4 linked regions of the Saccharomyces cerevisiae S288C genome follow. Each later gene encodes a partner of the first gene's protein in a complex. Each region holds a gene or a part of one and is shown on either strand. Other genes may lie near its edges. The genes, in order: SSL2, TFB1, RAD3 and TFB5. A codon is read from its position in the direction of its gene.

Region 1 (8,709 bases):
TTATGAATAGATGGGTAGAGAAGTGGCTGAGGGTATACTTAAAATGCTACATTAATTTGATTTTATTTTATAGAAATGTATACCCACCTCAGTCATTCGACTACACTACTTACCAGTCATTCAACTTGCCGCAGTTCGTTCCCATTAATAGGCATCCTGCTTTAATTGACTATATAGAAGAACTTATACTGGATGTTCTTTCTAAATTAACGCACGTTTACAGATTTTCCATCTGCATTATTAATAAAAAGAACGATTTATGCATTGAAAAATACGTTTTAGATTTTAGTGAATTACAACATGTGGATAAAGACGATCAGATCATTACGGAAACTGAAGTGTTCGACGAATTCCGATCTTCCTTAAATAGTTTGATTATGCATTTGGAGAAATTACCTAAAGTCAACGATGACACAATAACATTTGAAGCAGTTATTAATGCGATCGAATTGGAACTAGGACATAAGTTGGACAGAAACAGGAGGGTCGATAGTTTGGAGGAAAAAGCAGAAATTGAAAGGGATTCAAACTGGGTTAAATGTCAAGAAGATGAAAATTTACCAGACAATAATGGTTTTCAACCTCCTAAAATAAAACTCACTTCTTTAGTCGGTTCTGACGTGGGGCCTTTGATTATTCATCAGTTTAGTGAAAAATTAATCAGCGGTGACGACAAAATTTTGAATGGAGTGTATTCTCAATATGAAGAGGGCGAGAGCATTTTTGGATCTTTGTTTTAAGTGCAAAAATGAAATTTGAAGAATGGAATTAAAATTAAATGTCTCTAAGTATAAAAACTAAATAAAATATAGGGTATCTGTAAACCACTAATAAAAAATAAAACAGGAAAATAAAATTAAGCAAAATATCGTTGCGTATAATCACAGCATTTCTGGGATGCGTCCGTGAATGTCCTTAACTTGACCAACATTGACATTACTCTTATTTGAAAAATCTACTAACCTTTTCTTACTTGGTCTTCTGTCTGGTTCCATGCTATGGACCCAGCAAAAATTTTCACCATCTTTAACCGGAACAAAATCGTCAGAAGATGAAGTTGACATTGTTGTGGGAGTGATTCCGTTTTTACCGCTTTGAGAGTCTTGAATATTTTGTAAGTGGCGGTTACGATGCTTCGTTACGTTATATGGTGATGGTGTTACTGATTTTCTTACGGGAGAAGGGCTAATATTGCTGTTCCAAGGGTCCAGTGAAGACATAGTGACATCCCTTGACGTACGTTTTTCCTTCTCTGGTGCTTCTAAATCGAAAAGTTTTTCTGTATCAACAGTTTTTTGTGATCCGTAACTGTCTCTGACAATATCAGAGACTGGTGACAGGTTGCCAGTATATCGCCAGGATTTATTTACTGCTGGTTCACTATCCATATACACAGAAGAAGACCTATTCTGTGGGTCAAAGAACGGGCTCTCTGGAGGCTGTACTGGGGGTTTTGCTAATAATTCTTCTTTACTTTGGGATTGGAACTGATCATTGTATGTATTCATACCTGATAGAGAATCTCTCTTTTCATCCACGCTGGAAATATCAGATTCAGTGGCAGAGTGGTTATCCAATTTCAAAGTGTTCAAAGCAGCCAATCTTCTTGCTATTGAAGTATCATCGTACGAGGAAGCATCATCATCAAAGGGGTTGTTCAAAGGTGTAGCGTTTTCTTGATTTGGTTTATTTGCAGGATTATTCAAATCAGGTCCACTAATAGCATGCGGTAAGTTTTCATCGTCTGGATTTTCCCTTCTGCGTCTCCAGAATATTAGGAAGCAAATGAGAGCTACTAGGATAACGCCTAATGGGATAGCAACACCGCACGCAATTGCTACTGCTTTTTTATTGTGAGATGAAGTTTTATTGGCTGCTGGCAGCGCTGCTGGAGCAGAAGAAGTAGCAGCAGCGGAGGTAGAAGAAATTTTTGCAGTGTAAGTAGAAGATGTGTAAGAACTTGTTGAGGTGGAGTGGTGAGAACTTCTTGTGGACGTTGCATTCGCACTGTGGTTTGAGTGAGTTATCTTTGAATCCATGCCAATGATGTTAAAATATAGCTCTTGAGATTGTGAACCTTGGTTCGCTTTCAAACCTAATGAAAGCTTGTCGAAATTCTTGGGCACTTCTCCAGCTAATGTTAAATTAGATGATTGGAATTTCACCCAGTCATGGTCTTGGCTTGAATTAGTAAACTCTAATGAAACGTTTGTATTCACGTAGTCTGTAAACTGAGAAGGCAAAAAATAGTAGGAGAACCATTCACCCCTTGTAGCGTTAATATTGGGAAGAGAACTAATGGCAAACAAATCCGTTGTGGAGACAACTTCGAAGTTGAAATAAATCACATCACCATAAGTATCATAAATGGACACAGAAAAATTGGCAGGATTGGAGTTCTTACCGAGTAATTCATCTGGGACAGACCCGGAAATGGTAGCATTATCTAATGCCACCCAGTCTGGAGCATCCAATAAGTTTATAGAACCCAATTTATCAGAAGAAATAGGATCGTCATCGAGATAAACATAGTTTAGAGGTAAGTCATATGAAACGTTACCTGTGTCAGTAACGTTGATTATCAAACTATTTTGAATAGAGGTAGTTAACTGGTGAGCCCCGATGACTAATTCGAATTCTACCTCAACGGCAGAAAATCCTTCAATGTCTGTAGCGATGATGACAAAACTGTAGCTTGTTTCTGGAGCAATCGCCGAGTTTATCACCGGTGCCGTCCCAGTAAACTTCAACTCGCCAGAATCGAAGAACAGCCAATTGGGTAACGGCGCATTATACAACTGAGAACGTCCGTAATACGACACAATGGATTCTTCGTTAGTGAACATTGAACGGTCAAAAGTCACGTTGAAGACTTCATTAGGATCTAGTTTCAGAGCGTTTTTGCCGTTAGTATAACCATAGTTTTTTAACAACGCCAATAGATTGAAATCTGACGATAGCGAGATGGATGGACGGTTTGTAACAACAAATTGGTATGTATTGTTCAAAGACGTGCTGTCGGCAGAGTCCGTACCCTCGAGTATTACATTGAAATACAACGTGGTGTTCGCATCAGATAGTAAGTCAGAAGAAGGTTCACCTGAGAACGTTCTAGAACTAGAGTCAAACGAAAGCCAGCTCGGTAAGTCGAAGCAATTGTATGTTATTTGAGCTGTCTTGTCTACAGACGATTTATAGGTATCATTGGAAATTTGAAATGTAAACGATTCATTGACTCTTGCCACTGGGGGGTATTGTTTTCCGATAGGATATGCCTCATAGGGCGTGGCCACTACTAGATGGAGTAGTGATATAGTAGCTGTCAGCAATAATGAAATCTGAAGCTGTGTCATGGTAAGTGAATGCTTCTTGATATACGTAGATGTTGGAAGCAGGAAATCGTTTCGAGGAAGATATAATTTTTCTATTAAGTAATTGTTCTGTTCTTCTAGTGATGGTGGCTGTTGCAGTGTCAATCACTACAGGATGTGAGAGTAAAGAATAAGAAAATAAGTTCTCATATGAAAAGTGAAAATTACTCGACAAAGGAGGGCGACTCTCGGCAAGGAGCTTTGAGGTTGTGGAGATGCTATCTTTAACCATACCTACGATGGGTATTATTACATTCTTGAGACAGGGCTCGAGTACTGCTCGAAGAGGAAACATAAGTTGCCAAAATTTATTTGTGACGCGAATTGCCAAAAGTTCTATGACGCGTTGTTCTTTTTTTTTCGCGTCTTTGAATTATATAGTGGATAATTTTTGCGTTCTGTTTCTAATTATAATAATGACAGTGTGGCGGTTTATTATTTTCGAGGTATATCCTAAATATGTTACATATGTTGTCTATTGGCGGTTCTTGGTCTTGCACGGATGATGTTATCCACCCTTAGTAGAACTTCAGCGGCTTCAGATGCAGAGCTGACTACTGCTCGTTTTAGCTTGTAACTCTCGACGATACCTAACTGTCTCATGTCGGCAATGGTTCCGTTGTTGAGATCTAAACCTGAGGTGGAGATACCGTTGTATATGGAGGATCTTAGTTTGGACACAAGTTCGCTGCTGTCAAAACCAGCATTATCTGCCAAAATGGTTGGCAGTTGTCTCAGAGCACGGGCAAAAGCCTCCACGGCAAGGGACTTCTTTCCGTCGATGTTTTGAGCTTCGGTGTCCACAGCTTTTGACATGACCATCTCGGCGCAACCGCCGCCAAGAACAGTTCTTGTTTCCTTTGTGGTCTGTGACAACACGGACAATGCGTCATGCAGGGATCTCTCAGCTTCATCAAGCGTTTGGTCGGTAGCACCTCTTAGGACGATGGTACAAGCTTCACCAGCTTTGCAACCACTAAACTTCAAGAATGGCTGTTCACCAAGCATAATTTCCTCGATCACGTCACATTCTCCCAGTTTGCATTTACTTGGCTCGTCAAATGTAGACACCACCTCACCGCCTGTAACCAGGGCGAGCCTTTCTACACCTTCAAAATCAGCATGCTCAATTGAGTTTATGCCCAAATCTGTAAATAATTGCTCTGGATAGTCATAAATTAGTTGTCTATTGATGAAAGTGTTGATACCAAACTTGGAAATCTTGGCAATTTTATTCTTCATCTTTTCACGTTCTGCCTTTTCTAGTTGTGCCAATTTAGCAGTAGAATCGACTTTGAATTTGGTGCCGAATATTTTGACCTTGTCTGTATCCAAAGTTGTATTGGCGATTAGAATCTTAGCATTTTCAATTCTCTTGGGTTGGTTGTTACCAAATTTTTTGGCAAGAATGAAACCTTCGTCAAGGAACGAATCTGATAGCTTTCCACCAAGAATCTTAATGATCTGAATATGTTCTAAGTTAGTGGAGCCCTTCAATCTCAAAATAGCATTAGTTGCTAATTCTGCGAAGTGATCCTTATCCTGAGACAAAATTTTGGAAGATAAAGTAGTCTTGGCAATATGGATCAGATCTTCACGGAACATGGTCTTATCATGAGAGTTGTCAACAGCCGCTTTCGTTAACGCATCCAATGCGGCTGCTGAAGCTAGTCGGTAACCTTCAATAATAGTTTGAGGGTGGATTTTGGATTGATCAATCAACTTCTCTGCTTCTCTAAGCAACTCTGCGCTCAAAACAGTAACACTAGTGGTACCATCTCCAACTTCGTCATCCTGCACCTTACTGATGTTCACCAACACTTTGGCTGCGGGATTATCCAGCGGAATTGACTTCAGAATCGTAGCACCATCGTTTGTTACCATGCAAGTGTTACTGGACGCACTTTGCAATAATTTATCCATCCCTTTTGGGCCTAATGTGCTTTTCACCAAATCACCCACGGCAATGGCACCGACAAACGCCGACAAACGGGCGTTTTCCGCTCTTTCTTCTGTAACCTGGTCTCCAAATATCTGTACACTCATCCTGAATCTTTTGAGCTTTGTACGACTGACTCTTCTTGCCTATTTAATGGCCACCTTTCATCCTCTTTTTTATTGCTCTGCTCTTGTCTTTTAAACTCGCCACCGCGAAGAGAAAAAAATTTCAGATCGTTAGAAACGAGGTTTTTCTTCTAAGAAGTATAAGGAAAAAGGTCCTTAGTAAGGATAGATAATAGTAATGATATCTACATTATTTAGTAAAAGTAGCATCTACTGACGTTGGAATCAGTGGAAGATAAATCATGACGGACGTTGAAGGCTACCAACCTAAGAGCAAGGGGAAAATCTTTCCAGATATGGGTGAGTCCTTTTTCTCATCAGATGAGGATTCACCAGCTACTGATGCAGAGATCGATGAGAACTATGATGATAACAGGGAAACGTCAGAAGGACGTGGAGAAAGGGATACCGGCGCCATGGTAACAGGGTTGAAGAAGCCTCGGAAAAAGACCAAGAGTAGCAGGCATACAGCGGCGGATTCCTCTATGAATCAAATGGACGCTAAGGATAAAGCGCTTTTGCAGGACACTAATAGCGATATACCAGCAGATTTCGTTCCAGATTCCGTCTCTGGAATGTTCAGAAGCCATGACTTTAGTTATTTGCGGTTAAGACCAGACCATGCTTCCAGGCCCCTTTGGATCTCGCCAAGTGACGGTAGGATCATTCTGGAGAGTTTCTCTCCATTAGCAGAACAGGCTCAGGACTTTCTGGTCACCATTGCAGAGCCTATAAGTAGACCCTCCCATATTCATGAATACAAGATCACAGCATACTCTTTGTATGCAGCTGTTTCTGTAGGGTTGGAGACGGATGATATCATTTCAGTTCTGGATAGATTATCCAAAGTACCCGTTGCTGAATCGATAATCAACTTCATTAAAGGGGCTACCATTTCATACGGTAAAGTGAAACTAGTTATTAAGCATAATAGATATTTCGTGGAGACTACACAAGCAGATATTCTGCAAATGTTGCTGAATGATTCCGTCATCGGGCCCCTAAGAATAGATAGCGATCATCAAGTACAGCCACCAGAGGATGTACTACAGCAACAACTTCAGCAAACCGCTGGAAAACCCGCTACTAATGTTAATCCGAACGATGTGGAAGCCGTGTTTAGTGCAGTTATAGGTGGTGATAATGAGCGGGAAGAAGAAGATGATGATATTGATGCCGTTCACTCCTTTGAAATTGCCAATGAGTCTGTTGAAGTCGTAAAGAAAAGATGTCAAGAAATCGATTATCCCGTGTTGGAAGAATACGACTTTAGAAACGACCATAGAAACCCGGATTTAGATATTGATTTGAAACCTTCCACTCAAATCAGACCCTATCAAGAAAAATCGCTGAGTAAAATGTTTGGTAATGGGCGTGCTCGTTCAGGGATTATTGTTTTGCCATGTGGCGCAGGTAAAACTTTGGTCGGTATTACCGCAGCATGTACTATAAAAAAATCCGTAATTGTTTTATGTACTTCATCAGTCTCCGTCATGCAATGGAGGCAGCAATTTTTACAATGGTGTACCTTACAACCTGAAAATTGTGCTGTTTTCACCTCTGATAATAAGGAAATGTTCCAGACAGAATCCGGTTTGGTTGTTTCCACTTATTCAATGGTGGCAAACACAAGAAACAGGTCTCATGATTCACAAAAAGTTATGGATTTCTTGACCGGTAGGGAATGGGGGTTCATTATTCTTGACGAAGTTCATGTGGTGCCCGCCGCAATGTTCCGTAGGGTGGTCTCCACCATCGCAGCACACGCCAAATTGGGACTGACCGCAACGCTGGTTAGAGAAGATGATAAAATTGGTGATCTGAATTTTTTAATTGGTCCAAAACTTTATGAAGCAAATTGGATGGAATTATCCCAAAAAGGACATATTGCAAATGTCCAATGTGCAGAGGTTTGGTGTCCCATGACAGCAGAATTTTACCAAGAGTATTTAAGAGAAACTGCAAGGAAAAGAATGCTACTGTATATCATGAATCCAACAAAGTTTCAGGCATGCCAATTCTTAATTCAATATCACGAAAGGAGGGGTGATAAGATCATCGTTTTTTCAGATAATGTTTACGCCTTACAAGAATATGCTTTGAAAATGGGAAAACCATTTATTTATGGTTCCACACCACAACAAGAGCGTATGAACATTCTGCAAAATTTCCAGTACAATGACCAAATCAATACCATATTTCTATCAAAAGTTGGTGATACTTCCATCGATTTACCAGAAGCTACCTGTTTAATTCAAATATCTTCGCACTATGGGTCTCGTCGTCAAGAAGCCCAAAGATTAGGAAGAATTTTAAGAGCTAAAAGACGTAATGACGAAGGTTTCAATGCGTTCTTTTATTCTCTGGTTTCTAAGGATACGCAAGAAATGTACTACTCAACAAAGAGACAAGCGTTTTTGGTAGATCAAGGTTACGCATTCAAAGTCATTACACATTTACACGGAATGGAGAACATTCCAAATTTGGCATATGCTTCACCCAGAGAACGTAGAGAGCTATTGCAAGAAGTATTATTGAAGAACGAAGAAGCTGCTGGTATCGAGGTCGGTGATGACGCTGACAATTCTGTTGGGAGAGGTTCAAATGGCCACAAAAGATTTAAATCAAAGGCCGTTAGAGGTGAAGGTTCATTGTCTGGTCTTGCTGGCGGTGAAGATATGGCATATATGGAATACAGTACCAATAAAAACAAAGAACTGAAGGAACATCATCCATTAATCAGAAAGATGTATTATAAGAATTTGAAGAAGTGAATAGGCTTGGTTTCATTGTCACCTTCCTATTTTGAATCTATTCAGTCATAATACCTTTTTGTTCCCACCGTCTTCTTATTCTTTCGTCGCTGTTCTTTCTTTTATTGATTCGTCACGTCCATTTTCTTCCATAATATAAAAAATAAAAAAAAAATAGAACATTCCTAATTAAAGCATCCAAATATACTTACATATATTTATTTTAAAAATAACTACATATCAATACTTACTTAAATTGGTTTGGAATACTTGAGAAGGGGAGTGAGGGTGGAATTGAACAAAATGCAGGTTATTAAAATGCGGAAAGGTGGGGCTGAGCTTTGCTGTAGATTGCTCGGGTATTATATATCATTTATTTTATTAATTTGTTACGTTATGTTCAGTTTCAAACTCCAAATTTCGTAACTCTTCAATGACGTTTCCTAATTCGTTTTCAGAGTTTTCCAATGACGATTGAATATTAATTTTAAATTTACTTGTTATATCAATAACATGTATCA
Region 2 (8,047 bases), on another chromosome or scaffold:
GTTGTCGATGGTTTCATTCAGATTGTCTTCGTTAATGCCGTCCTGACCCAATGCCGGCAGTGTTTCGTTATGGGGAAACATCCACTCTCTCCATTGAGTGGTCACATTGTCGCAGAGGTCGTAGAGGATCATTTTTAGCAGGGTAATATGGTTGTAGAACCATGAAACGGATCGATTAATAAATATTCTGTAGTTTTCCATCTCTTTCACCGCATGCAGGATGGTGTAGTTGTGGAATCTTCTTTTGTCTCTTGATTGGTCTCTCCAAAATTCGAAAAGGGCAAATAACGCCTTTCTCCTTTGCCAGGTTCTTTTGGATTCCCGAAGTTTTAAGCCTAGACCAACTAGTTTATTCTCCCACCTGAATTCCATCAAGAAGTACTCCAAACTGTTAACGTATTTCTCTGTCAGCGTTGTCTTGCTCAAAATTTCAAAGGCAAGTTCCGTCTCTTCTTGAATATCAGGCTTGAAGAAATGCGCATTCATTTTTTCATGCTTTGATTTAGCAGCATAATCCTCCTCATTGATGCTAGAGTTGATCAATTCCTCTTCTTTCGCCTTGAATTTAAATTCCAGGTACGCTCCTGTGGTAATGGGAACGTCCGGAATATCTCTCCGGTAGAAGAAGCCTTCCCGGCAGATTAATTCAATGGGAGTTGCCGTTAACAATGTATTGCGTGACTCTGTACCCAAACCGAGGTTTCCGTTGCCATTGCTACTATCGTTAGCAGACTCAGTATCGTTATGGATAGATGAAGTACCTTTGGATAAATCTGCGGAGATGTCTCCTGAGACATTCTCCACGGTGGCCAGCGTTCCGCTATTACCAACACCCCTTTCTCCCTCATCTTCTTCACCTTTTGTATGATCTTCTGTGCGTCTCTTCTTTGGTGATATGCTCGTATTCTCTGTTTGATCCAATGCACCGTCATCGCCTGCTGTTCTTTTCCTTATCGTGTCCGAAGGTTGTGAGTTTTCTAATGGAACGAACGTGGTAGTTTCTTCATCTCCCGGGGTCTTTCTTTCATATTCTGCATTCTCCTTGGTAATTGCCTCTTCCCCAGAATTTAGCATGGACTGTATTCCAACTTTGTGAACCGTATCGGCAGCGGATATGGTTAGACCCATCTTGAGAGAGTCGCTGTTTGCGTTTGAGCCCTCATTGTCAATATCGACGAGTTTTTCTTGCTCTAATGGTTGATATCCTTCCTGTTGGTGGTCTGAAATGCCGCTGATGGAGGCCGATCTTGGTTTTGGCGACATTGAAGAACCTTTAGTTGTTGGTTTTTCTGCACTTTTTATCTTTGAACGGGTGGAGATCTCATTCAAATTTAAGTTCAAGTGATTATCATGTATTATCGAAGTCATTCTTTTCCTCCTCTCTTCTTCTTTCATTGCTTTTAAGAGTTTCTTATTAGACTCCATAAATGACTTTGCTTTATCGCGATCGTTATATTTCATATTAACAAGCATTTTCTCCCTTGAATCACGTCTTTTATCTAATTCTCTTTGTTGTCTATTCATCTCTGACGTAACCGCCGCAGCAGCGGCAGCTGTTGCTGCTGCTGGAGAGGAAACGGGTGGTAATTTGACCGTAATATTACCGCTGGCGTCATAACTTAATGAAAACTGATCGTTAACCATTAATCGGCGAATATCACTATTGATATCTGAATTAGCTGAAAATTTAATGACGTTGTCAGTATTATTATTATTGGTCGTATTATTACCACTATTTTCGCTGGATGATTTGATGGTTATTATTTTCTCCTTCTCGGTTTTATTTTCTTCAACATTTACCTTTCCTTCCACGTTATTATGAACAGTATCAGTAGTATTCGAATCCTCTGCGTTTGGATCACCATTAGTTGAAATTAGAGAGGCCAGTTCTAAACTTTTAATGTCTATTTCTTGTGTGGCTGACCTTGAAGTCCGAACCGGAGCCGGTTGTGACACAGGATTGGATGGAGATGATGGTATTTGATGAAATTTGGAAGATGGAAGCAAGGAATTTATTGGAATCTCGTTTTTAATCCGATTAGATGCATCTGACTTATCTATCGTATCCGTGGAATTGGATATCATTGTTTCCACTGTTCTCTTTTTTGGGGGCCTGCCTCTTTTTCTTTTGATTTGAATTAAGTTGTTCGGCGTAACAGGTGTTGGTGTGATGGAGCTAGAATTAGCAGTGGATGGTCGCTCTTTACCATTTTCATTGTTCGTTCTTTGCGGTACGGAAGTCAAGGACATATCAGCATCATCTCTTGATGATGAAGGGGCAGATAATAAAAGCGACTCTTGTTTCGTTGATGGTTCCACAAAATACCTTTTGGATTTAGACGTTTGTACTACGGCAGTCGGTAAAGTAATATTTACTGGTGAGAAAGGAGCACCCTGATTGGATGCACTTTTGAGATTGACCGAGGCTGCGTTTGACACTAACTTATTCATTGTGGAGGTCGAGGCATCTTTTCTTGGCCTGCCAGGTCCCCTTCGAGAAGAAGAGGTATTATGCTGTGAACTGGTATTGTTGGATGAATTTTCTATGAGAAGGTTAGAGTGATTTACTTTCGAAGTATTTTGCAACATTGTCGATAATTTGTTCAATCGTTCATTCAAATTATTGACCAATATGTCAGTATTTACTTGATTCTTCATGACATCATCCAGCTTATTTTCCAAAACTGATTGGTTGTGTGATAAAACTTTTAATGAGTTAAACAAATCCTGCACAGAATCAGTGAGGGAAGTGTCTTTGGAAAGCAAAGCCGTCTTCAAATCGTTGCATTGTTTTGTGACTTTGTCCATACCCTCTTTTAGGGCTTCAATAGATGAATGTGGAAAGGCCTCGGAATCTTTTATATGAAGCGGATTTGAACCAAAACCAGAGCCAACTTGTCGTTTTATATCAGAATCATCACTGACTGGTATGTCTGTGATGGATGGCAAAGCTTTAGCGTTCGCATCTGTATCTAGCTTCCTCAAACTATTAGCTTGATTTTGAGCACTGGTAAGTGCTAACGTATCTACGTCATCTTTGGGTCCAGACGGAAGTCTCTGTTCATTGGTTATGTTATCAGAAGGGGCTGTGGTGTTCTCAGACATCCCCGCAACAAACGAATTTTGTTAATTATGTATGAAACTTTTCGTTTGATCTCAATAATACCACTAGCGACTAAATTTTTATGATACTTAGCTACTTTAAACAAGTCCCTTGTGCTCTGTTTGCTGACACTTTTGATAAAATATGCCTGTGTATAATTCTTTTAGCAGTTTATTTCAAACACAAATGGTATTAAAAGGATAGATGAAAAAAAAAAAAAAATTAAAGCCACTAGTAATGATACAATCGTGGTATCACAAGCGCTGAATGAAACAAGTGTGGCTATCTATAGCGGATGCAAGTGGAGAACTTGTGAATCCAAACTGAAATATTTTGCCATCATTTGTTGTCCTTTCCCTTTTCCATTCAGGAAAAAAAAAAAAAATTTGACGTCGCCGTCGCGTCGCAGTCATATAATTACAGCAATTTATCTTGTTGAACGACGCAAATTAATGGAAATTGTGACTTACATAGTAAGTATTAGTAAACGTAGTTAAGGCCACGTGGGAAAGATATGAAAGGAGTGTAAGTAATGGATATCGGTCTAACGAAAATGGAAACCAATCTTTAAAAATGATAGTATGATTCGACAGTAAACTAGAAAAGCCACAACCCGTGGGACATGATAAGGCTGCTCGTTTTTGACGCAATTTTTAGACAATACTGAAATTTAGCATAATAAGCTTTCCCAGTGAAAGTAATAATATTTAACCTAGGGTAGGGGTAGGGAAAAAATAAAAGTAAACCATAATGTCACATTCCGGAGCTGCCATTTTTGAGAAAGTTTCTGGGATAATTGCCATAAATGAGGATGTTTCACCCGCAGAATTGACATGGAGGTCTACGGACGGTGACAAGGTTCACACAGTTGTCTTATCCACTATTGACAAGTTACAAGCTACCCCTGCTTCCAGTGAAAAAATGATGTTGAGGCTAATCGGGAAAGTGGATGAGTCAAAAAAGAGAAAAGACAACGAAGGAAATGAGGTTGTGCCCAAACCGCAACGTCATATGTTTTCGTTTAACAATAGAACAGTTATGGATAATATCAAGATGACCCTTCAACAAATCATCTCACGGTATAAAGATGCAGATATCTACGAAGAAAAGAGAAGAAGAGAGGAGTCTGCGCAACACACAGAAACACCAATGAGCTCTTCTTCTGTTACTGCAGGGACTCCCACACCACATCTCGATACACCACAATTGAATAATGGGGCTCCGTTGATTAATACAGCCAAACTAGATGATTCTCTCTCTAAAGAAAAATTGTTGACCAATTTAAAGCTACAGCAATCTTTACTGAAAGGAAACAAAGTTCTAATGAAGGTTTTTCAGGAAACAGTCATTAACGCCGGTTTGCCTCCATCTGAATTTTGGTCAACTAGAATTCCGTTATTGAGGGCTTTTGCCTTATCTACTTCTCAAAAAGTTGGGCCTTACAACGTTTTGTCAACTATCAAGCCGGTGGCTTCATCGGAAAACAAAGTCAATGTTAATTTGTCAAGAGAAAAAATTTTGAATATTTTTGAGAACTATCCAATTGTAAAGAAAGCTTACACTGATAATGTGCCCAAAAATTTCAAAGAACCAGAGTTCTGGGCAAGGTTCTTCTCTTCGAAGTTATTCAGAAAATTAAGGGGTGAAAAGATCATGCAAAATGATAGAGGTGACGTAATCATTGACAGGTACTTGACATTGGATCAAGAGTTCGACAGAAAAGATGATGACATGCTATTGCATCCTGTGAAAAAAATTATAGATTTAGATGGTAACATACAGGACGACCCAGTTGTACGAGGCAACAGGCCCGACTTCACTATGCAGCCAGGTGTGGATATTAATGGTAATAGCGATGGTACCGTGGACATCTTAAAGGGTATGAATAGATTGAGTGAAAAAATGATTATGGCTTTGAAGAATGAGTATTCAAGGACAAATCTACAGAACAAATCTAATATTACAAACGATGAGGAAGATGAAGATAATGATGAAAGAAATGAACTGAAAATCGATGACTTAAACGAAAGCTACAAGACAAACTATGCAATCATACATCTGAAAAGGAACGCACATGAAAAGACAACCGACAACGATGCGAAAAGCTCGGCAGACTCGATAAAGAATGCAGATTTGAAGGTTTCTAATCAACAAATGTTACAACAGTTGTCATTGGTCATGGATAATTTAATTAATAAGCTAGACTTGAACCAAGTAGTTCCTAACAACGAAGTCAGCAACAAGATCAATAAAAGAGTCATAACTGCAATCAAGATTAACGCCAAACAGGCTAAGCATAACAATGTTAATTCAGCACTCGGCTCTTTTGTCGACAACACTTCTCAAGCAAATGAATTAGAGGTGAAAAGTACCCTACCAATAGACCTATTAGAAAGTTGTAGAATGCTACACACAACGTGCTGTGAATTTCTAAAGCACTTTTATATTCATTTTCAGAGCGGTGAACAAAAGCAAGCCAGTACCGTCAAAAAACTTTATAATCATTTGAAGGACTGTATTGAAAAGCTGAATGAGCTATTTCAAGACGTCCTTAATGGTGATGGTGAATCTATGTCAAACACATGTACCGCCTATTTGAAGCCAGTTTTGAACTCCATTACTTTGGCTACTCATAAGTACGATGAGTACTTCAACGAATATAACAACAATTCGAACTAGAAATATAAAGGCTCTCCAGTTGTTACCACTTTTTACATTCATATTTTTCATCTATTTACTGCATGTTACATATTACATAAAACTTAATTGTGTGTATTCTTCCTTTTTGGTCTTTAGTCTCTATGTAAACAATAGAAAAACGCGGGACTCGATTAACGCTGTGCTGCACTGATGCAGCCGTGCGTGTAAATAAAACATTTAACGTGAAAACGCGCGCGAATGGCTTGTGAAACAAACAAGAAACAAACGGGAAATATTTCAGCATGTGATGTGGCTGAAAATTAGCAAACGATTCGTCAAAATAAATCAGTAATGGTGCTTTAGTTCTATTACAGCTTGCTAATGGTTCAGTAATATTTTCAAAAATTTTGCCAAACAGACCTAAGCACTTGCAATACTCCAGACTGTTAGTTCAGTCATTATCTATCATCTTGGACGATTTTGCAATTTTTTAGTGTAGATGCATCTCATCGACGGGCTTGTATGAATGATATTAAATAGGCAAAATAAACTAGTCTAGCTAATATTCGACTAAATTGCAGCTGCTAGGTCACCATCCCGCACATACCTTAGATATTTTGGAACTAATGGCTAAAAGAAGGCAGAAAAAGAGAACGCATGCGCAGATCACACCCGAGCAGGAACGAGATATTCCTAAATCCATGGTAATCAGAGTGGGACAAACTTCATTGGCTAACCATTCTCTAAACCAATTAGTAAAGGATTTTCGCCAGATCATGCAACCGCATACGGCCGTAAAACTAAAAGAGCGCAAGTCCAATAAACTGAAGGATTTTGTTGTTATGTGTGGCCCATTAGGTGTTACGCATCTTTTCATGTTCACTCAATCTGAAAAAACAGGAAATGTCTCGCTAAAGATAGCTAGAACTCCACAAGGTCCTACTGTTACTTTTCAAGTATTGGACTATTCACTGGGTAGAGATATCAAAAAATTTTTGAAGAGACCTAAATCGTTAAATAATGATGATGTATTAAATCCTCCATTGCTAGTGTTAAATGGGTTTTCCACATCGAAAAGATCTGATGAAGACGATCAGGATGTAAACGTGGAGAAGGTTATTGTTTCCATGTTCCAGAATATTTTCCCACCTCTGAATCCTGCAAGAACTTCGTTGAATTCTATCAAACGTATATTTATGATCAATAAAGACAGAGAAACGGGGGAAATTTCTATGCGCCACTATTTTATTGACATTCGAGAAGTAGAGATCTCTAGAAATCTAAAAAGGCTTTATAAAGCCAAAAATAATCTAAGTAAAACAGTGCCGAATTTGCATCGAAAAGAAGATATTTCTTCTTTGATATTAGATCATGACTTAGGCGCCTATACATCAGAATCTGAAATTGAAGATGACGCTATTGTGAGAGTGGTTGATAATCAGGACGTGAAGGCAAAACATTCTCAAACTTCGCTGTCGCAAAAAACACCCGTTAAAATGACAGATAACGAAGAACGTGAAAAAGGAATTGAAGAAGAAGATGTGGAAATGGAGGAACCTAAGCCTTCAGAAAATTCGCAACCAACTCCACGTAAGAAGGCTATCAAACTGACTGAATTAGGACCAAGATTAACTCTAAAACTGGTCAAAATAGAAGATGGTATTTGTTCAGGTAAAGTATTACATCATGAATTTGTTCAAAAATCAAGCGAAGAAATCAAAGCCTTAGAAAAGAGACACGCTGCAAAAATGAGGCTGAAGGAACAAAGAAGAAAGGAACAAGAAGAAAACATTGCTAAAAAAAAGGCTGTTAAAGATGCTAAAAAGCAACGTAAATTGGAAAGAAGAAAAGCTAGAGCAGAAGAACAGGGTGAAGGTCAAGGGAAAGATGGTGCAATGAGCGATGATGGATCTTCATCGAGTGAAGATGAGCATTATAGTGATGTACCAGAGGATTTGGATAGTGACTTATTCAGTGAAGTAGAATAATGCACGATATGTATATATATCCTCCGTACGTAACATCACTATCCATATAGTAGCCATGACTCCGATGGACTTAAAGAACCAGGAAGTGTCTGTTTATTCATAGGTGAGGGAACACCTCAAAGTAAATATTAATGAATATATAAGATCATAATTAAACAAATATATAGAAATCTTTTACAATTAAAGAAAAAAATAAAAGAAAAGGGAAGTTAAAACTTCGATTATTAACAGCTGAAAAATTAAACTTTGTAATGAAAAGCAAATTGGGAGTTATCGTTAAAATACGGCATCATGGAAAGGACAAAAGTTCCTTTTA
Region 3 (8,502 bases), on another chromosome or scaffold:
CGCACCCTGAAAGACCAAATCACAAGACAGCAAATAGAATACTCAAAAAGGAATCTCCTGTCGAGACATCAAAATCAAATCTTATACTTTCAAAGGTTGCATCCACTCGCCAAGAGGATTCTTTTACAAGCCGAAATGACGATCTGGACAAAGAACAAGGCTCTTCTCCATTAAACTCTAAGTTTGCGCCCGAAGAAATCGTGTTATCAGGTAAGAACAAGATTTATATTTGTAAGGAATGCCAAAGAAAGTTCTCTTCTGGTCACCATCTTACAAGACACAAAAAATCCGTCCACTCTGGTGAGAAACCTCATTCTTGTCCCAAATGTGGCAAAAGATTTAAAAGGAGAGATCACGTTCTGCAGCACTTGAATAAGAAAATACCGTGTATTTCAAACGAAACAACAGTAGATGCTCCAATAATGAACCCTACAGTGCAACCGCAGGACGGGAAAGCGGCCATTAATCAACAGAGTACACCTTTAAACTGACTCACGATTGCCAGTTGTTTACCGAGATCTCTCATTTTGAAGGCTCTTAAAATGTGCTCGGTCGGCCGGGAATTCGCGAAAACCCACATTCACTAATAAATACCATTACAATAACCATCATTATATAGATACACATGTGTAGAAAAGGATAATATACGTATATATATTTGTTTGTAAATCTTTAAATTTTCAGGAACAGGGTTAGCAAGCATCAATGAAAGCAGACGCGAAACAAATAACACATCTACTCAAACCTCTTCGACTTTTATTATTGGGGGCTCCAGGGTCAGGTAAAGGGACACAGACTTCGAGATTACTAAAGCAAATTCCACAATTATCTTCAATTTCGTCAGGCGACATTTTACGTCAGGAAATAAAATCTGAATCTACCCTAGGCCGAGAGGCTACTACCTACATTGCTCAAGGCAAGTTATTACCGGATGATCTCATAACGCGTCTGATAACTTTTCGTCTTTCGGCATTGGGTTGGTTAAAACCATCTGCCATGTGGTTGCTCGATGGATTTCCTCGAACTACTGCGCAAGCTTCTGCCTTAGACGAGCTGCTGAAACAGCATGACGCCAGCTTGAATCTAGTGGTAGAGCTAGATGTACCCGAATCCACCATATTAGAAAGGATCGAGAACAGATATGTTCACGTTCCTAGTGGGAGAGTGTATAACTTACAATATAATCCTCCCAAAGTGCCAGGATTAGACGATATCACCGGAGAACCATTGACCAAGAGGCTTGATGACACAGCGGAAGTGTTTAAAAAAAGGCTAGAAGAGTACAAGAAAACAAATGAGCCTTTAAAAGATTATTACAAAAAAAGTGGGATTTTTGGTACCGTCTCTGGGGAAACATCAGATATTATCTTCCGAAATTATTGAACCTTATAACCAGCAAATTCGGCTAATAGGGTGATTTAACGCTACACTAACTGCAAGTATATGTTAACCTTCCCCGAGACTTTGAAAAACCGTGACTCTAGTTGGAAGTCAGCATCTCGTCAACCAAATGATTACAGTTCACTTTGAATATTCTGAATAGCCTTTATGATATGAGTTAATCCTATATTAATCATGGCCGACGGCATTTAAGCGATGTATATGAAATTTATGAAAAATTAAAGTAGCGTACTTTATGCTACATAGCTTTTGAAAAGAAATCTCTGGTCTGTAAATAATAAATAAATATATATATATGTATATCTTAAAGTTGACAAAGTACTGTTAGCCATTCATAGAAATACTATATTTCATCTTGGGTTGAAGGTGATAATCGGCCCGATTTGACTACACTTTAAGAAGATTGGAAACAATGAAGTTTTATATAGATGATTTACCAGTGCTTTTTCCATACCCCAAGATATATCCAGAGCAGTATAATTATATGTGCGATATTAAAAAGACTCTGGATGTAGGTGGAAATAGTATCTTGGAGATGCCTTCAGGAACAGGTAAAACGGTCTCATTACTATCCCTCACAATTGCCTACCAGATGCACTACCCAGAACATAGAAAGATCATATATTGTTCTCGTACTATGTCTGAAATTGAAAAAGCTTTAGTAGAGTTAGAGAACCTTATGGATTACAGAACTAAAGAACTAGGCTATCAAGAGGATTTTCGAGGTCTTGGCTTGACATCAAGAAAAAATTTGTGTTTGCATCCCGAAGTGAGTAAGGAACGAAAAGGTACAGTAGTCGATGAAAAGTGCCGTAGAATGACAAATGGGCAGGCGAAGAGAAAATTAGAAGAGGATCCAGAGGCAAATGTAGAATTGTGTGAATACCATGAGAATTTGTACAATATTGAAGTAGAGGATTATCTTCCAAAAGGCGTATTTTCTTTTGAAAAACTTTTGAAATACTGCGAAGAAAAAACACTTTGTCCATATTTTATTGTTCGTCGTATGATTTCTCTTTGTAACATTATTATTTATTCTTACCATTATCTATTAGATCCTAAAATTGCTGAAAGAGTTTCCAACGAGGTTTCTAAAGATAGCATTGTCATTTTTGATGAAGCGCACAATATTGATAATGTGTGTATCGAATCGCTGTCATTAGACTTGACAACGGATGCATTGAGAAGAGCCACACGAGGTGCTAATGCGTTAGATGAACGTATTTCTGAGGTCAGAAAGGTTGACTCACAGAAATTACAGGATGAATACGAAAAACTAGTTCAAGGTCTCCATTCTGCAGATATTCTTACCGACCAGGAAGAGCCATTTGTGGAAACACCTGTATTGCCCCAAGATCTTCTAACAGAAGCAATCCCGGGAAATATACGAAGAGCCGAGCATTTTGTTTCATTTTTGAAAAGATTGATAGAATATCTGAAGACCAGAATGAAAGTTCTTCACGTTATTTCAGAAACGCCAAAATCATTTCTACAGCATTTAAAACAGTTAACTTTCATAGAAAGGAAACCTCTTCGGTTTTGCTCAGAAAGGCTATCATTACTTGTAAGAACTTTAGAAGTTACAGAGGTAGAAGATTTTACTGCATTGAAAGACATAGCAACTTTTGCTACTCTTATATCAACATATGAGGAAGGGTTTTTACTAATTATTGAACCGTATGAAATCGAAAATGCTGCAGTTCCGAATCCGATTATGAGATTTACTTGCTTAGATGCATCGATTGCCATCAAACCAGTCTTTGAGAGATTTTCTTCCGTTATTATCACTTCAGGGACCATATCACCATTAGACATGTATCCAAGAATGTTAAACTTTAAAACTGTTTTACAAAAATCATATGCCATGACCTTAGCCAAAAAATCATTTCTACCAATGATTATTACCAAGGGTTCTGATCAAGTTGCAATTTCTTCAAGATTTGAAATCAGAAACGATCCTAGTATTGTTCGTAATTACGGTTCTATGCTAGTAGAGTTTGCCAAGATCACACCTGATGGAATGGTTGTTTTTTTCCCCTCATATCTATATATGGAAAGTATTGTTTCAATGTGGCAAACAATGGGTATTCTTGACGAAGTTTGGAAACATAAATTAATTTTAGTTGAGACTCCTGATGCTCAAGAAACTTCTTTAGCCTTAGAAACCTATAGAAAGGCTTGCTCAAATGGGCGTGGGGCAATTTTGCTTTCTGTTGCTAGAGGAAAGGTATCTGAAGGTATCGATTTTGATCATCAATATGGCAGAACTGTGCTGATGATAGGTATCCCGTTTCAATACACAGAATCGCGTATTTTGAAAGCTCGCCTAGAATTCATGAGGGAGAACTATCGCATCAGAGAAAACGACTTCTTATCTTTCGATGCGATGAGACATGCAGCTCAATGTCTGGGGAGAGTACTGAGAGGGAAGGACGACTATGGTGTAATGGTACTAGCAGACCGTAGGTTTTCAAGAAAAAGAAGCCAGTTACCAAAATGGATTGCTCAAGGTTTGTCTGACGCCGATTTGAACCTTTCGACTGACATGGCCATATCCAATACCAAACAATTCTTGAGAACAATGGCACAACCCACAGACCCTAAAGACCAAGAGGGTGTATCTGTTTGGAGTTATGAAGATTTAATAAAGCACCAGAATAGCAGAAAAGATCAAGGTGGATTTATTGAAAACGAAAACAAAGAAGGAGAACAGGATGAAGATGAAGATGAAGATATAGAAATGCAGTGATGCAATGATACGCTTTTGCTATAAACTGTATATATCACAATTAGATTAAATAGCCGCAAGAGAATGTTATATATTGAAATCCATTCGATTATCCAGGACTAAACAATGATTTTATTTCACATTTATTTCAAAGGACAACTCTTTATCTGCGTCAAGATATGAATCACAGACACACCAAATTGTTAAGTTATGTTTACCAGATGTCGGAGTGTCAAATTCCAATTCATATTGCTGAGTCTCTTTATTTAAAGTAACTTTCTTGATCGCATAAAGCTCTTTTTTAGATACTTCACCTAAAACCAACCACCAACTTTCTAGCTTATCAAACGGATACTTTTCAGATGTTACTTGTAAGTTCTCAGGTTCAACATCTCTTGTCAATTGAATGGTAATTTTCTGTTTTACACCTGAAATTAACGAATCAGAATTATTCAACGAATAAGTAAGTTCAACGTTGGGGTAATTGTTAACAAACGCGGCGACCTGCGCAAGCTGTGAATCAGTAAGCGTTAAAATTTCATCCCTCTCTTCATCCTCAAGGGCCATTATATCATAGACCGTCTCGACGTTAATTTCTTTACATTTTTCCAAAATTTTGTTGTTGAAGTGTGGAATCTGTCTCAACGGATTATCAACGTCCCATACACCCTGAATCAACATCTGCGCCAAATCCATGGCGGTAGTAGCATTCAAATACCCGTTTGCTGAAAGGATATCAACCACTACGTTAATTAGTGGAACAACCTTTTCTAGAATGTCTTTTAAATCATTTTGAAAGTCGACAGGTAATTCAAGACGTGAAAAATATGCTTGTAACAATAAGAAAACTTTAAAGCTCACCGAACCAGAAGAGGTGTGTTCAGGGAATCTCAATGGTAGTCTTTTACTTAATTTGACAAGTAATGCTCTGTCTCCTTTTCTGAGTGGAACACTTTCGAATTCTACTGCTGTTGAAAGAACATACAGCATGTTTTTGAGCGTTGACGTATTCGATAAAGAAGAAACGAATGACTGAATAGTAAAAAATGATACGCCATAGTGAGAAGCAATTAGCCCGTTGCTCAAGGTAGAAATGATTTCAGTTGCTTCATCATCTCCTCCATTAACTTCTGCGGTTACTTCAGCTTCTGTATCGTCAATTTCAATGAAGGATGATTCAACTAAGTCATTCAAACAAGTTTCAACTAAATTACTCAAAAAAACTGAAATTCCATGTGGAGACGTATCCCTTACGCCATAATAGCTTGGATTCACATGGATACGACGATAGAAATACGAATATGTAAACCAGTCAACACAATCTTGTTTGCTTTGTATAATAGAATTTGCTATCTCGTTGTTCAGAGTATCATGAATAATATACTGTAGGTAACTCTCAGTAGGCAAAGGCTCAATTAAGAATTTTTTGTAGTAGGCCTTCATGTTGTGACTTGTCAAAATTAAAACCTTGCCTGCCATTGAATCGTTACCACTAGCTAGTCCCACCATTTCTAGAAGTTCATTTATGGTATATGGCATATATTTATGCTCTGCACCATCATAAAGGTTGGTTCCTAAAATAATCACTTCATCAGTTTTACAAGCGAATGCAGAACAATCCTTAGAAATGAGTAAAACCGATACCGCACCATATTCGTATAACCTTTTCACAATTCTTTCATCATTTGATGCCATCCCCTTATACAAAATACCAACACCGTGTTTTAAAGGTGCTCTTAGATGACCATCTGTTAACTTTTCAATGTATGGTACAATTTGCTCTTCTTCAACGTTCAACATATCCCATTCAATTGCTTTTGAAAACTTCATAAATGCAGACGCAACTTCCATACAATCCTTTCTAGATGGTAAGAACACCGAACTGGAATTACGATTTCCCGCTGCAGCAGCAGATGCTTCAAATGCCATTTGAAGCATCGAAAAATTGAATGATATGTGCTCAACATCTTTAAATGACTGAATATTAATTTCAAGAGGCTCAATTCTTTCGCTTGGAGAAAAGTTGTAGATGTTTGACTTCGTCATACCAGCCCATTCACCAAAATCACGAGCATTTGCCAAACAGTTCGAAAGGCAAACAAATCGAATTTTCTTTTCAAGTTGGGTTGCTATAAATATCATTCTAGAAATTAGCGTTTCATACACAGCACCGTAAACACCTTGGCTAATCTCATGAGCGTCATCATATATCATTAATTCTAAACTTTGGATGTTCTTCCTTTGTCTCCAACGACGTGACAAAAGCTCAAATTGCACGGGGGTAGCCAAGAGAACATGGCTTTTTGCTAATAATTTTAAATTTAGTGAAGGATCATTTCCTAGCTTATTTATTATCTTACCACCAGCAAGATGAGAGAACCTTTTATTCCAATCAGATAGCAAAAAATCAATTTTTTCCCCAGACGGATTGATATAAACCGCTCTTCCTTTATTCTGTCTCCAATGATTTAACAGTGCTAATTCAGCCATAGCTGTTTTACCTGTGCCCTTTCCTGAACCTACAAAGACCGAGTCATTCGAATTGTAGAGAGACTCGAAGACCTGGCTCTGAATCTTGTTGAAAGTTTTAAATTCAAATACTTCGGAAAAATCATCATTGCCAAGCTCTGATGTTGAAATACTAATATTCTCCAGAAGGGGAGTAGGAGGAGGAAATTTTTTCGGAAGTTTAAATCCATTGAAGGAAACTGGAATCTCGAATTCACTGTGCCACCAATTTTCTGATATCAAAGTAAGGAAGAAATTAGGTGGTAAGTTATTTTGATTGTGCTGCTTTAACTCATAAGTAAAGGATAAGGTAAATTCATGACCAACTATATCTGGAGTGATGAATAGTACGTCATAATAAAGTATTGAATCACCATCAGTGTCTTCTAGCATGAGCAAAAAAGGTTCAAGGGAACCGTGTACATTCATATCCCATATCCAGTCGGCTATTATTTCAATGTTGAACCTCATAACGCTACGGGTAATTGGCTGAGCGTTGCATGTTACGGACATTTTGGGAAATCTTTTCAATAAATCGTAAACCTGTTTTCCATATTTTTCAGATCTGATTGCACGACCAACTTCGGCAGGTGTTTCTAGCTGTAGATAATCTCCCCACGGTACTGTAGAGGCTTCCAGCCTTTTAATCACTTCGACAGGGCATGTTTTAAACTGTCTTAAAGGACAGTTTGTTGGCCACATTTTAGTTGTGGCAGATTTGCAAAGATTTAACAACATCCGTGTGGGATGTCCCCATCCTCTCTTCAAGCATATTTCAAACATAGCACGCAATAACCTACCAGCATTTTGGTGAATAAACACTATATCAGAATTAAGTGCAAAACCTTCGAACTTTAGCTGGGAAAAATAAGACTGCAGTAGTACATTCACTTTTGCTAAAGGATCATCAATATCTTCTCTGATAGGAATGGGTGCTTTCTCTAGAAGTTGTTTTAGTTCTCTTTTCTCTTCATATCTCACCGATACGTACTTAAACTCTTCCGACATTGAGAATATTCTAAAAAGATCAATCTGAGTTGTATGTTCATCTAACTCTCTATTGTAAACATCCATGGAAGCATGATTTATGTAAAATGACGACGCTATATTTCCTAGATCGGTCGCCTCAATTACATCATTTTCAGCATCATATAACACCAACTCTTGTTCTTTTAAAATGCATAGGGCCGAATGGACTAAGCTTTCTCTAAACTTTTTCAATTGCCCATCACTTGAAATATCAGGTACTTTGTAAAGCATAGGGGAAGCTAACATTCTGACATATAGGTAAGTATACGCCAACCAATTCACAGCATCATTCCTGCACTTAATGTTACCCGCGACAACTTCTGCATTTAAGTTGTCAACTAATTTTGAAACAAATTGCGATTCTATTGGTAATTGTTGATTTAAAACCGAGAGATAATATTGAACATTCGATTGGTCTGTTATTATAATACCCTCGCCAAATGTGTCATATCTCGGTCTGCCTGCTCTACCTAACATTTGAAGTACATCTTGTGGAGAAAGTTGTTCCCAGGACCCCTTTTCAGGTGAATAGACATCTGTTCCTTTTATAATCACTGTATGAGCAGGTAGATTAACACCCCATGCTAACGTCGCAGTGCATACCAATACTTGCAACAACCCGTCTGCAAATAAATCTTCAGATAAGGATCTGTCACTTCTGGTCAGCCCTGCGTGATGCGTCCCTATACCGCTTTCAATCAACTTTCGTAGACTTGGATCGAGTACGTTGGCTGCTTCTGTCTTTAAAATCTGCTTCGATCCTGCATCATTTTTGGTTAATTTATGAGTAATGTTCTCTTCAGCAAATTTATTTTTCAACCATGTTGCTGTTCGTG
Region 4 (2,593 bases), on another chromosome or scaffold:
TTTTTTCCCGTATAATTCCAATATATCAGCGCATCTTGCTGATATTTTCTGTTCTATAACAATTTAATAAGGGCTGACAAACAAAAGTAATCACTTCGACAAGTACAAAATGGGTCTATTTAATAACTTCAAGTTTAAATATACAAGGGCGCAACTGGAGATCTTTAGATTTTCATTTTGTTTGCTAGCACCTGTTGCTGTAATGTACTATATTGGTACAGATACTGATAAAAAATTAAATGTTCCAGGGTTTTGGCCAGATCCTGCAACGTTGAACCAAATACCAAAAGAGCCTTATGAGATTAAAGCTGAACTGGCAAGGATGAAAAAAGAACGTTTAGAGAAAAGGCTTAGGTTGGAGAAAAAGATACAAGAGGAGTTTGGTTTAGACCTTGAGGAGGAAAAAGAAAAAATTAAACGGGATTTGGCTCTCAAAAAAGGATGAGAAAAGAAAACGGTTAAAGATGTATACTTGCACCTGACCACTTTTTCTTCCTTATATTTATTATTCTAACATGTACATACCTGTATAGTCGTATTTCCACTAGATCATCACTTCCCCTCTATATTCATGTCTGACCTGGTTATGCAGGTCATGCTCTATTCAAATAGTATTGAAAAAGCTGAATGAGCAATAATTACTGATTTTCTTCTTCATCCATAGGATTATATATATTCTTAGATAATAGCCTATTTAGCTCATGCTTAACAAATTCGACTTTCGAGGGATTTACTAAAAGATGGGTGTCATCCAACTCCTCTAGTACTATATCACTCATCTTGGCGTCAATTTGTAATATGAGCGCCTTGATGGATGGATCACATTGAACCAGTGCACCCTTTCTTGCTCTAGCCATTTTTTCGTTCTTTTACAAAAGTATCTTGGCTTTGTCTCTATTGGGAGTACACTTCTATCTTACTGCAGTTTGCTCGTCTTTTTTCAATAATACGATACAAAAGAAAAATTAAAAGGGCTATTGAGACTGTTGTAAAATATATATGCAAAATAAAAAAGCATTTTAACGAAGAGTATATACCTACTATTAGACATTAATGACTACAGATAATCATCAGAATGATTCTGTTTTGGATCAACAATCAGGCGAACGAACAATTGATGAGAGTAATTCCATCTCTGACGAGAATAATGTTGATAATAAGAGGGAAGACGTTAATGTAACTTCACCAACAAAAAGTGTTAGTTGCATATCACAAGCGGAAAATGGAGTAGCTTCTCGAACAGATGAGAGTACAATAACAGGAAGTGCGACGGATGCAGAAACAGGTGATGATGATGATGATGATGATGATGACGATGATGAAGATGAGGATGACGAAGATGAGCCCCCCTTATTGAAGTACACACGAATTAGTCAACTCCCGAAGAACTTTTTTCAACGAGACTCGATCTCTTCATGTTTATTTGGTGATACTTTTTTTGCATTTGGTACACACTCAGGCATTCTACACTTAACTACATGCGCGTTCGAACCCATTAAAACCATCAAATGCCATAGATCTTCGATACTTTGTATTAACACTGACGGAAAATATTTTGCTACGGGATCTATTGACGGGACAGTGATTATCGGATCGATGGATGATCCACAAAACATTACACAATACGATTTCAAAAGACCTATAAACTCTGTAGCGTTGCACTCAAATTTTCAAGCATCCAGAATGTTTGTTTCTGGTGGAATGGCTGGCGACGTTGTACTATCTCAGAGAAATTGGCTAGGAAATAGAATCGACATCGTTTTAAACAAGAAGAAAAAGAAAAAAACAAGAAAAGATGACCTATCCTCTGATATGAAGGGCCCTATCATGGGAATTTATACTATGGGTGACCTTATATTATGGATGGATGATGATGGAATAACATTTTGCGATGTTCCTACAAGATCACAGCTTTTGAATATTCCATTCCCCTCCAGAATTTTTAACGTACAGGATGTAAGGCCAGATCTATTTAGACCCCATGTTCATTTTTTAGAAAGTGATCGTGTCGTTATCGGATGGGGATCTAATATTTGGCTATTTAAAGTTTCCTTTACCAAGGATTCAAATTCGATCAAATCCGGTGACTCTAATTCTCAAAGTAATAATATGAGTCATTTTAACCCTACGACAAACATCGGATCTCTCTTGTCTAGTGCTGCATCGAGTTTTAGAGGGACACCTGATAAGAAAGTTGAATTAGAATGCCATTTTACTGTGTCAATGTTGATTACAGGGCTTGCATCGTTTAAGGATGATCAGTTATTATGCCTAGGTTTTGATATAGATATTGAAGAGGAAGCAACCATAGATGAAGATATGAAGGAGGGGAAGAATTTTAGCAAGCGGCCAGAAAACTTATTAGCCAAAGGGAATGCTCCAGAATTAAAAATTGTTGATCTTTTTAATGGTGATGAAATCTATAATGATGAAGTTATCATGAAAAACTATGAAAAATTGTCTATAAATGATTATCACCTCGGTAAACATATAGATAAAACAACACCAGAATACTATTTGATAAGTTCCAACGATGCCATCAGGGTTCAAGAGTTATCATTGAAGGATCATTTCGATTGGTTTATGGAAAGAA

Evidence for each region.
Region 2: SSL2 (region 1) and TFB1 share a complex: the UniProt entries of both Saccharomyces cerevisiae proteins name them as parts of the 7-subunit TFIIH core complex.
Region 3: SSL2 (region 1) and RAD3 share a complex: the UniProt entries of both Saccharomyces cerevisiae proteins name them as parts of the 7-subunit TFIIH core complex.
Region 4: the proteins of SSL2 (region 1) and TFB5 are in contact, whole or in part, in a cryo-EM structure (PDB 7K01), measured with the Saccharomyces cerevisiae proteins. Residues at the interface, in NP_012123.1 of Saccharomyces cerevisiae: Met561 (codon at 7,358), Ala563 (codon at 7,364), Tyr569 (codon at 7,382), Leu570 (codon at 7,385), Tyr717 (codon at 7,826), Tyr718 (codon at 7,829); in NP_076886.3 of Saccharomyces cerevisiae: Asp13 (codon at 821), Ser15 (codon at 815), Ile16 (codon at 812), Asn61 (codon at 677), Ile62 (codon at 674), Met66 (codon at 662), Asp67 (codon at 659).

The regions. Positions count from the first base shown.
Region 1 is NC_001141.2:80,010-88,718, reverse strand, and holds SSL2 (TFIIH/NER complex ATPase/helicase subunit SSL2), read left to right. Parts: upstream 1-5,677; coding exon 5,678-8,209; downstream 8,210-8,709. Other genes in the region: REV7 (Rev7p), read left to right, coding at 3-740; AXL2 (Axl2p), read right to left, coding at 882-3,353; chaperonin-containing T-complex subunit CCT2, read right to left, coding at 3,834-5,417; kinetochore-associated Ndc80 complex subunit NDC80, read right to left, coding at 8,570-8,709. UniProt on the Saccharomyces cerevisiae protein: ATP-dependent DNA translocase. Component of the general transcription and DNA repair factor IIH (TFIIH) core complex. When complexed to CDK-activating kinase (CAK), involved in RNA transcription by RNA polymerase II.
Region 2 is NC_001136.10:1,081,212-1,089,258, forward strand, and holds TFB1 (TFIIH/NER complex subunit TFB1), read left to right. Parts: upstream 1-3,853; coding exon 3,854-5,782; downstream 5,783-8,047. Other genes in the region: SUM1 (Sum1p), read right to left, coding at 1-3,105; SSF2 (rRNA-binding ribosome biosynthesis protein), read left to right, coding at 6,370-7,731; PIB1 (phosphatidylinositol-3-phosphate-binding ubiquitin-protein ligase), read right to left, coding at 8,008-8,047. UniProt on the Saccharomyces cerevisiae protein: Component of the general transcription and DNA repair factor IIH (TFIIH) core complex, which is involved in general and transcription-coupled nucleotide excision repair (NER) of damaged DNA and, when complexed to TFIIK, in RNA transcription by RNA polymerase II.
Region 3 is NC_001137.3:525,269-533,770, forward strand, and holds RAD3 (TFIIH/NER complex ATP-dependent 5'-3' DNA helicase subunit RAD3), read left to right. Parts: upstream 1-1,813; coding exon 1,814-4,150; downstream 4,151-8,502. Other genes in the region: RPH1 (Rph1p), read left to right, coding at 1-491; adenylate kinase ADK2, read left to right, coding at 706-1,383; ATP-dependent RNA helicase BRR2, read right to left, coding at 4,262-8,502. UniProt on the Saccharomyces cerevisiae protein: ATP-dependent 5'-3' DNA helicase.
Region 4 is NC_001136.10:602,955-605,547, forward strand, and holds TFB5 (TFIIH complex subunit TFB5), read right to left. Parts: upstream 858-2,593; coding exon 639-857; downstream 1-638. Other genes in the region: PET100 (Pet100p), read left to right, coding at 110-445; VPS41 (Vps41p), read left to right, coding at 1,054-2,593. UniProt on the Saccharomyces cerevisiae protein: Component of the general transcription and DNA repair factor IIH (TFIIH) core complex, which is involved in general and transcription-coupled nucleotide excision repair (NER) of damaged DNA and, when complexed to TFIIK, in RNA transcription by RNA polymerase II.